Neurospora crassa OR74A: one gene and its partner. The protein of the gene in region 1 purifies or fractionates together with the protein of each later gene. This does not show direct contact. Links are inferred from orthologs where the notes say so. Each region holds a gene or a part of one and is shown in the gene's direction. Other genes may lie near its edges.

Region 1 (3,441 bases):
GAAAAGCGGCCAAAAGTTTGTGGGAGCTTATTCCTTGCATTACTGAGCACATCATGGCAATTTTGCTCGGCCATTTCTCGGAACCAACTCTTCATGACTTGCGTTCGGTGACTTCAACATTCTGCGTGATGTAGTATGTATACAGGCTCACATTCGGATCGGAGGGCCGCTATCGCTGTTAGAGCGAGGTAATCTTGTCCGGTTGCAACCCCTACTTGCTCACGGTACACAATTGCTCCCGCTGATTCTGACCCGCAACCAGGCAAAACGGAGGGTATTCAGAGCTGTAATGCTGCGAGAAGGTGTATGAATACAGTTACGACAAGTTGTTCAACACGTTTCTGGGCTTTCTGGGCTTGCTCCGACTGTTTGAGGCATCCTGGTTGAAGTTGTTTTGCTGGTTAACGCGGAGACCAGAACATGACCTTTGGATCTCGATGGCAGGCTCAGCTAAAGCGAGACCCAAGATGGAGTCCGGGGTTGCATCATCAGTCATGTCAACCCTTCCAGTTCCCGATGTCGATATTCCTTTGGTACAGCGACCCAGCCGTATCAAGCCATTTCTCTGGTGGAAACCATGGAGGTAGACCATTAGAAGCTTTGCTTAAACCCCGACCACCGCGAGGCCGTCATGCAGGCTTCTTGGTGGTTGTCTTCCATCAGGCAGCCCATCTGGTTGAAGCAGAGCCCAACCTGCCCGATATGCGGTTCATCTTGTGATCCCCAAGGACTCCAGCCTCACGAAGACGTCAGGTTTGACACGCGATATGCCGGAAAAGCCGTGTCTCCTTGCCGCGATTTGATGGCCGATCTTGCATGAACTTTATAAAGTGTATTTGATGTCAGAAGCAGTGAATTTCCCACGGCATGACGTGATAATGTTCGAAAACTAACCATTCAACACCCGTCAACTAAGATCTTGGATTCTTCCCGGTGCGCGCGTCCTTGAGTATCAAATCAAGCTGTATCTGGTCGGGCATCCCTCGCGGTGGGCAGGGTGCCTCCAGAAGACAACTGGCTCAGGCAAGCGATCCGGCTATGCCTTTGCCGGTCAGCGTACAGGAGGGCTCTCCTTATATAAGGGCCTCCGGTCATTCGCTGAATCCTGAGAACTTCGTCTTGATGAAAGAACTCAACGCCCGTATCCTTTCCGATCTCTAGGGCTCCGAGAGATAGCTGAGCGGTTGTGAGGATAACCGAAGATGAACAGTCCGATGCTGGTTGCTCGACTGCTCGGTTATGAGAGCCCGTGACGAAGCTGTAGAATTTTTTATTTTTTTTCTTCCATTTTTTTTTTTTTTTGGTGACACGATGGAAACACTTGGAACTGAGTTTATTCGGGGTGCTTTGATTGAGAAAAAGAGGCATTGTGCTCGGCGTGTTCAGTATGCTTCTTGCTGTGGCTATTTGATTGAGTGCAAGGAGGCATTTGAAACCGGAAAGAACAATTCGAATATGCAGTGGCGCAAGACTCGGGGCCGAACAGTCATTATAAAAATTGTAACGGGAACCATGAATTGGGAAATGGCAGTGATGGACAAAGGTCCGGAAGCGGAAGGGTTAGTGAACGAGAAGTGACTGAACGGGCGAGAGGAAGGAAGAGGACGTTGTAAGCCATCATATGCCACAGACATGAATGAATACATTTATCAAGATGCTGAGTACCCGTAGATCTCGGTCATGCTTACGCATAGTGTATGTACATATCCGAGCCACCCACCCAGTACTCGCGCCAAGGTCGCCGAACCACATCTGAAATGCGGACGTCCGAGCTTTCGCCGTACGCTGACGAAGGCAAACGCATCATCACGACTGATCGACGAGCCATATTCGCCGGCGCCTTGACTTCTACAGCACCTTTTTCCTACCACACTCACGAGTTTCTCCACGAGGCACGAGCATACCAAATCGTACGCACCAAGCAGCACAGAGGCCAAAAGAGGGAAACGGGAAAGGAAGTTGATCGATATGTCTACCGTCGCAAGGACTGGCGAGTCAGCCGGCAAAGTTCTGTCGCTGGTATGTAGCATGCCTTTCTGCGCACTTCTTTCCCTGGATCGTAAACGGTATTTGGGCTAGAACAACGCAAACGCTAACATCGTTGCTTTGAACCAACAGTATCGTCAGCTTTTGCGCCAGGGAAATCAGTTTTCCTCTTACAACTTCAGAGAATACGCCAAGCGCCGCACAAGAGACGCTTTCAGGGAAAACAAGAACGTGGAGGATCCTAGACAGGTGCAGGAACTTGTGCAGAAAGGGTTACAGAATCTTCAGATGCTCAAGGTATGCCGGGCACTCGAGCTGAGACGCGACTTGGAGAATACAGAGAAGTTGACATTGGAATAGCGCCAAACAGTCATTAGCCAGTTTTACCAACAGGACCGCTTGGTCGTTGAGGGCGGGCTCTCGGTAAGTCTTCCTGAACCGTTCCGTGGAGTAGATCAGAGGTGATCTAACAAGTCGCAGGGTAAGGACAAAGAAGGAGGTAAGCTCAGGCAGAAGGATACTGGGTAAGTTATAATCTTGAGAAGCAGATTTGAGAAGAGCTGTCTTGCTAACGAACTGAACCTCAGCTGGGACTAAATGGCTGCAGACGAAAATCCCTGTTTAGTAGTCGCTTTGCACGAATGACACGGGAAGAAAAGGCTATGTTTAATACTATGAGTGAAGGGTTGGCGAAGAGTACACCTGTTCGAGGTTGCAGGAATGATGACGGGATACCAATACCAGCTTTGATTTAGCAGGCCAACAAGTCCAAAGGTGGTGGTCGACGGGGCTTCTCTGATAGCAGAGGATAATTAACTTAAATCAGTTACCATATCAAATTCCAGTGATTCGGCACAATTATGAACGGTCCCTTGGGTATAGATTATGTCTTGGTTGTGTCGTGCCATGATAACCGGCTTTCCGGATCACCGTCAGAACCTGCGAATCCTTGTCGCAACTAGATCGACTCGTTCCTTGCATATCCGAGATCGGTTTGGCAGTGGGGGCTGCCTTAAGAAGGTAAATTGCTTTACCGAGAATTCATGTCCCATTGGCATGGTCAGTGCGACCAGTGCGCGCGACCACTGACTGACCACTGCAGGACGAGCCACTGCAGTCAATCGAAGGCTGTCGGAGAGTGTCAGGTTGGCCGCCGCGACTTGAATGCGACGCGCAACATCCCGCACCTTGTCGACTTCCATCCTTCCATTGACAACATTCTTAGCTGGCGGCATAGGATCGATTTCTTGTGGAAGCTACCTCTGCATCAGTACGGGTTCCCCTTACTCTTCTCTTTCTCTATCACATACCTACCTACCTATAGTTTGCACCATATCGTTACGTAGTCCGGCATCTAGTCGCTTTCAGCCGATCCATCGTTATTGTTCATCATCATCCATCCTTCTATTCAGGTTCCAACACAGTACAGCGGCAGAACAAGCAGCACTTAGAAGC
Region 2 (4,476 bases), on another chromosome or scaffold:
CTAATATCACACCTGGCGCAACGCATTTGCCTCACCTACCCTGCCAGCCAACCTCAAAACCAACAATTAATCAACACCATCCACCGCAACCCGCCCATCATGCTCACCACCACTGCCTCTTCGGCTGCGGCCGTCGCGCGCCAGCTCACCACCCGCCGAGTCATCGCCCCCTCCTTCGTCTCTCAGGCCATCCGCACCTACGCAACCCCCGCCGGTCCCCCGCCCAAGGGCTTCCGCATTCCGACGCCCAAGACGTGGGACCAAGAGGAGGAACACGTGCTGGATAAGAACGGACGGTACTTTCTTTTGACGGAGATGTTTAGGGGCATGTATGTGGCTATGGAGCAGTTTTTCAGGCCGCCGTAAGTATCTTGTCTGTCTTTTGTCTGTTTGCTGGCTTGGGAGGATAGGAGGTGGTGAGTGGTGGAAGTTGGAAGGATCTGGGGTGAGGAGGTGGGCAGGATCCACGACATGACAAGTATCATGACTCGCGCACTGGAGTAGTATGGAGATTGCGGCTCTGCGGCTCGTCGCTTGGTTAAGCGCGCTCGTACTGTGCTGCTCCTCCCGCCGCTCCTCCGTCACCACGACGATCAACAGCTACCTAACGACTGCGCAAACCCATACCACCATATTTACTGACACCTCTATTCCAGGTACACAATCTATTACCCCTTCGAAAAGGGTCCCATCTCCCCCCGCTTCCGCGGCGAGCACGCCCTTCGTCGTTACCCGTCGGGCGAAGAACGCTGCATCGCCTGCAAGCTCTGCGAGGCCGTCTGCCCTGCTCAGGCCATCACCATCGAAGCTGAAGAGCGTGCCGATGGAAGCAGAAGGACGACCCGCTACGATATCGACATGACCAAGTGCATTTACTGCGGATTCTGCCAGGAGAGCTGTCCCGTGGATGCGATTGTGGAGAGTCCCAATGCGGAGTACGCAACGGAGACGAGGGAGGAGTTGTTGTATAACAAGGGTGAGTTCTTTTCTGGGGGATGCCGTGATAACCTGGTGCTGGCTGGAGATAGGTTCTTGCTGTCGGGGGGCCAGGAAAATATGACATGTGCTGACAACAGATACAGAAAAGCTACTCTCTAACGGAGACAAGTGGGAGCCTGAGCTTGCGGCTGCTATTCGCGCCGATTCACCTTACAGATAAAGGGGTTGTGGCTTGAAGACCGGATAACAGGACGGACAATGAAGACAGAGATTCTTTTTTTCGTTGTTGCTATGCTAGAGTTTCGGAACCAGCAGTTTCGGACGGGTTGCGGTATCAACAGGACGCACCATTGTGTTATAGAAGGCAGGCAGGCAGGCAGGCGGACAGGCAAAAGAAGGCTGTAGATACATTTGTGAATTGCGTCCCTCATCCAACTTCTTGTCTTTTTGAAAGTCATCTCGCCAGGGAAGATCCTATATGCGGCCAAAGGGACGCATCAAGAAACCTAAAGATGCTTGAAAGGCTGAATGTACAATTAGTGTACGGTACCATCTGTAAGATACAAGCTGTATCGTGATGAACTCCATCCCATCGTATCCATCAACCGGGATTACCCGTCTAACAGACGAGTGGAGTGATCCTGCCCGTGGGGTGTTAGTGGAGTATCTGCTTGACACATTTCTCCGCAGTGTACAAGACGGTACCTGAGCGACCTGCACGTGACTCGGCTGACGAGTAGCAGAACGAGCTGAAGCTTCCATGGCTGCAGTTGCGGGGGAGCATCGAGGTTGTACGTACCAAGGTACCTCCACACGCTGAAGCTCCAGAGTCAGAGGCGGGTTTGTTAGCTTCGTTGGCCGCCGCCGCCCGCAGTTGCCCGCACCCGCTTCCCGCGCCCCCGGCGTACCATAGGCAGTAGGCGAGAAATTTATCATCATCATCGCTGATTCCAGCCAACCACCGCCCAGAAATCCGCTTCCAGCCAGAGAAACCCGCAACAACCTCGTCCGAGAACCACCGAGTAGTAGCGTCACACTCATTTTCGGCCACAGCCTTTCCTGTCACCACCACCGACCCTCAAACACCCGACCGACCCGCGCAATTGACACTTTCCGCGACAGCCCACCCAAACAAAACAAAAAATGTTCCGCACCGCCGCCCTCACTGCCGCCCGCGTGGCCCGTCCCGCCGTCGCCTCCGCCGTCCGCGCTGGTGTTGCCCGTCCTGCTTTTGTCCAGGCCGTCCCCAAGGTCGCTGCCTTCCAGGCTGTCCGGTTTTACAGCGCCGGTGGTCATCTCAAGAAGGATGAGGTCTTTAGCAGGATTGCGCAGGTGTTGAGTGGATTTGACAAGGTGCGTTTTACATCACAAGAGACCTACCCGACACGACATGCATACAAACTTCGAGCAGGAGGATGAGGAGGAGGAGCAGAAGAAAGGAAGGAGATAAGAAAGAGGTGTGAAGAGGCAGAGGGATACGAGTGGTCTAGGGACATACGCTACGCGAAGACAAGAGGAGAGAGCGTGCGGGGGAGCATCATCATCGCAAGCAAACCAGCCGGACAACAGAACACAAACGGAGGAAGACCAAAAAGATGCGAAGAGCATATCAAGGCTGCGCAGACGCGACAAAACGAGATGGAATACGATGAAGAGCACTGCGTGCTCCACACGCTGCGCCATGGTCGGATTTATCGGGAACTTGGGAGCTCTTCGAATGGGTCTGCCCTGCCGGCTGGGCTGGTTCTGCTCCGATGATGATGCTCTCCCCTCGCTTTTTTGCCCTCCTCCTCTTGCTATCTTGCTGGTCAACTTCTTGTCTCTTGCTCTTCTTTCTTCCTTACCTCGGCTGGATCTCCCCTCTCCTCCAGCCTCTTCTTCAGAAGCCACAACAGTCCCGTGTTCGCAACCTTTTTCCAGGCCCAAGCTAACATCTACTTTCCAGGTCAACGACCCCAAGAACGTAAGTACAGACGCAAACACCAACATTTCCTCCTCACCGTCACGGAGACGAACTATGATGTGATTTTTGGTCATGATGGGTCAATCCCAGTGCCCTGGTGCTCCCGGCCTGACAGTCTGGAAGGAGAGACGAGACGGGCAAACCGCAAGAATAGATGCAATGGAACGAGACCAAAGATACAGGGATGAGAGATTCTGACACAAGTTTGCGCATCACAGATCACCGAGACCGCCCACTTCGCCAACGACCTCGGTCTTGACAGCTTGGACACCGTTGAGGTTGTTATGGCTATTGAGGAGGTATGTTGCTCCCTTTTTTTTTCTTTTTATTCCGGGCCCTTGTCATATTCCCTTTTCGGCCCAAGCTCAGCCTCTTATCACAATCACCCTTCAACCCAAACACAGTCATAGCACATGGACGCCAAACACGATGCTAACAAACCTACCCGCAACAGGAGTTCTCCATCGAGATCCCCGACAAGGACGCCGACCAGATCCACTCGGTCGACAAGGCCGTCGAGTACATCCTCAGCCAGCCCGATGCCAACTAAAAAAAGTCCTCTGTTTCGTTCCTTGTTCGAGCGTTTTAGAAACCCCACTACTTGCGCAAATATAAAGCATACTTCTTCTCCCTACCTACCCACCTTACCTTTTCACCTCTATCTTTATCCTTAACTAGGTCGATTCGAAACATATCTTTGTCATTGTTTGGGATTCGATTCGATCTGTGTACCATACGAAAACTTAGAACCTGAATGAAAGAAGAGATGACGAATGGAATGGAGCATCGTGATGGGTACGGGCTAGATGTGAATTGTGGGCAGGTCGGACTTGGTCTTGATGTTGTTATCATTGTCAGAGTGGTTAGTCTGGGTTGGTCAACGCGGCGACACGTTGCAATGTTTGGTGGTCACTAAAGTGGTATTGTGGCAGGCTCAATATAGCGTTGGTGTCAACTCTTGTGCTGTTGCGTTGTGTTTTGTTTGTCGCCTATATCCGTACCTACACACTACTTACATACCCCCCCCCCCCCCCTTTCAGGTAAAGAGAACAATCATGACTGGAGCGCACTCAACTTGAAGGCCTGGGTTTATATGTCTTCCTGTCTGATCACTGCTCAGTTCAACAAACACAGACCAGTACCTGAATCGAGCGAAGTTGGCGAACCAGGAGAAACCATCTGACTGGGTATCTAGATGTATCTACCTTTAAACTGAATAGATACGTGGTATTTCTCAAGAGAAAATGTCAACTTTGTTGCGTGACCAAGTGAAGAAGATGTGACCGACGAGAGATCCTTGATACTACGACGGAGTATGTCTGGTCCTTTAAATGTCCCACTTCAATATTTAGATCGCGGCATGAAGATACCTACCTTAAGGTATGCATGTATTCACCACCACCTCAGAAACTTGCCCTCAAGATCACGTAAAGCCAGAATTGTTCGGTACCTACCTCAAGCTAAAACTGGGCTCCGTACCAACCGATATTCTTTCCTTTATTTTCCTCTTCGTCTTGTTTTCTTTCTATCTTTTATTTTTTATATATTTTACAAATTTTTTTTTTAATTCTTTT

The links.
Region 2: the proteins of NCU02007 (region 1) and acp-1 purify together in Saccharomyces cerevisiae (affinity purification with mass spectrometry; 4 studies listed by BioGRID, with this or other methods). This does not show direct contact. The link is inferred for Neurospora crassa OR74A from reciprocal best matches to the Saccharomyces cerevisiae genes ISD11 and ACP1.

Annotation. Positions count from the first base shown.
Region 1 is NC_026501.1:1,696,022-1,699,462, forward strand, and holds NCU02007 (iron-sulfur cluster biosynthesis protein Isd11), read left to right. Parts: upstream 1-1,762; 5' UTR 1,763-1,968; coding exon 1,969-2,019; intron 2,020-2,118; coding exon 2,119-2,283; intron 2,284-2,346; coding exon 2,347-2,409; intron 2,410-2,466; coding exon 2,467-2,510; intron 2,511-2,573; coding exon 2,574-2,583; 3' UTR 2,584-2,841; downstream 2,842-3,441. Other genes in the region: NCU02008 (hypothetical protein), read left to right, coding at 421-583, 917-1,161.
Region 2 is NC_026506.1:4,098,279-4,102,754, forward strand, and holds acp-1 (acp-1), read left to right. Parts: upstream 1-1,746; 5' UTR 1,747-2,082; coding exon 2,083-2,292; intron 2,293-2,884; coding exon 2,885-2,902; intron 2,903-3,120; coding exon 3,121-3,201; intron 3,202-3,356; coding exon 3,357-3,452; 3' UTR 3,453-3,916; downstream 3,917-4,476. Other genes in the region: nuo21.3c (NADH-quinone oxidoreductase chain I), read left to right, coding at 100-362, 657-976, 1,083-1,159. UniProt on the Saccharomyces cerevisiae protein: Carrier of the growing fatty acid chain in fatty acid biosynthesis. May be involved in the synthesis of very-long-chain fatty acids.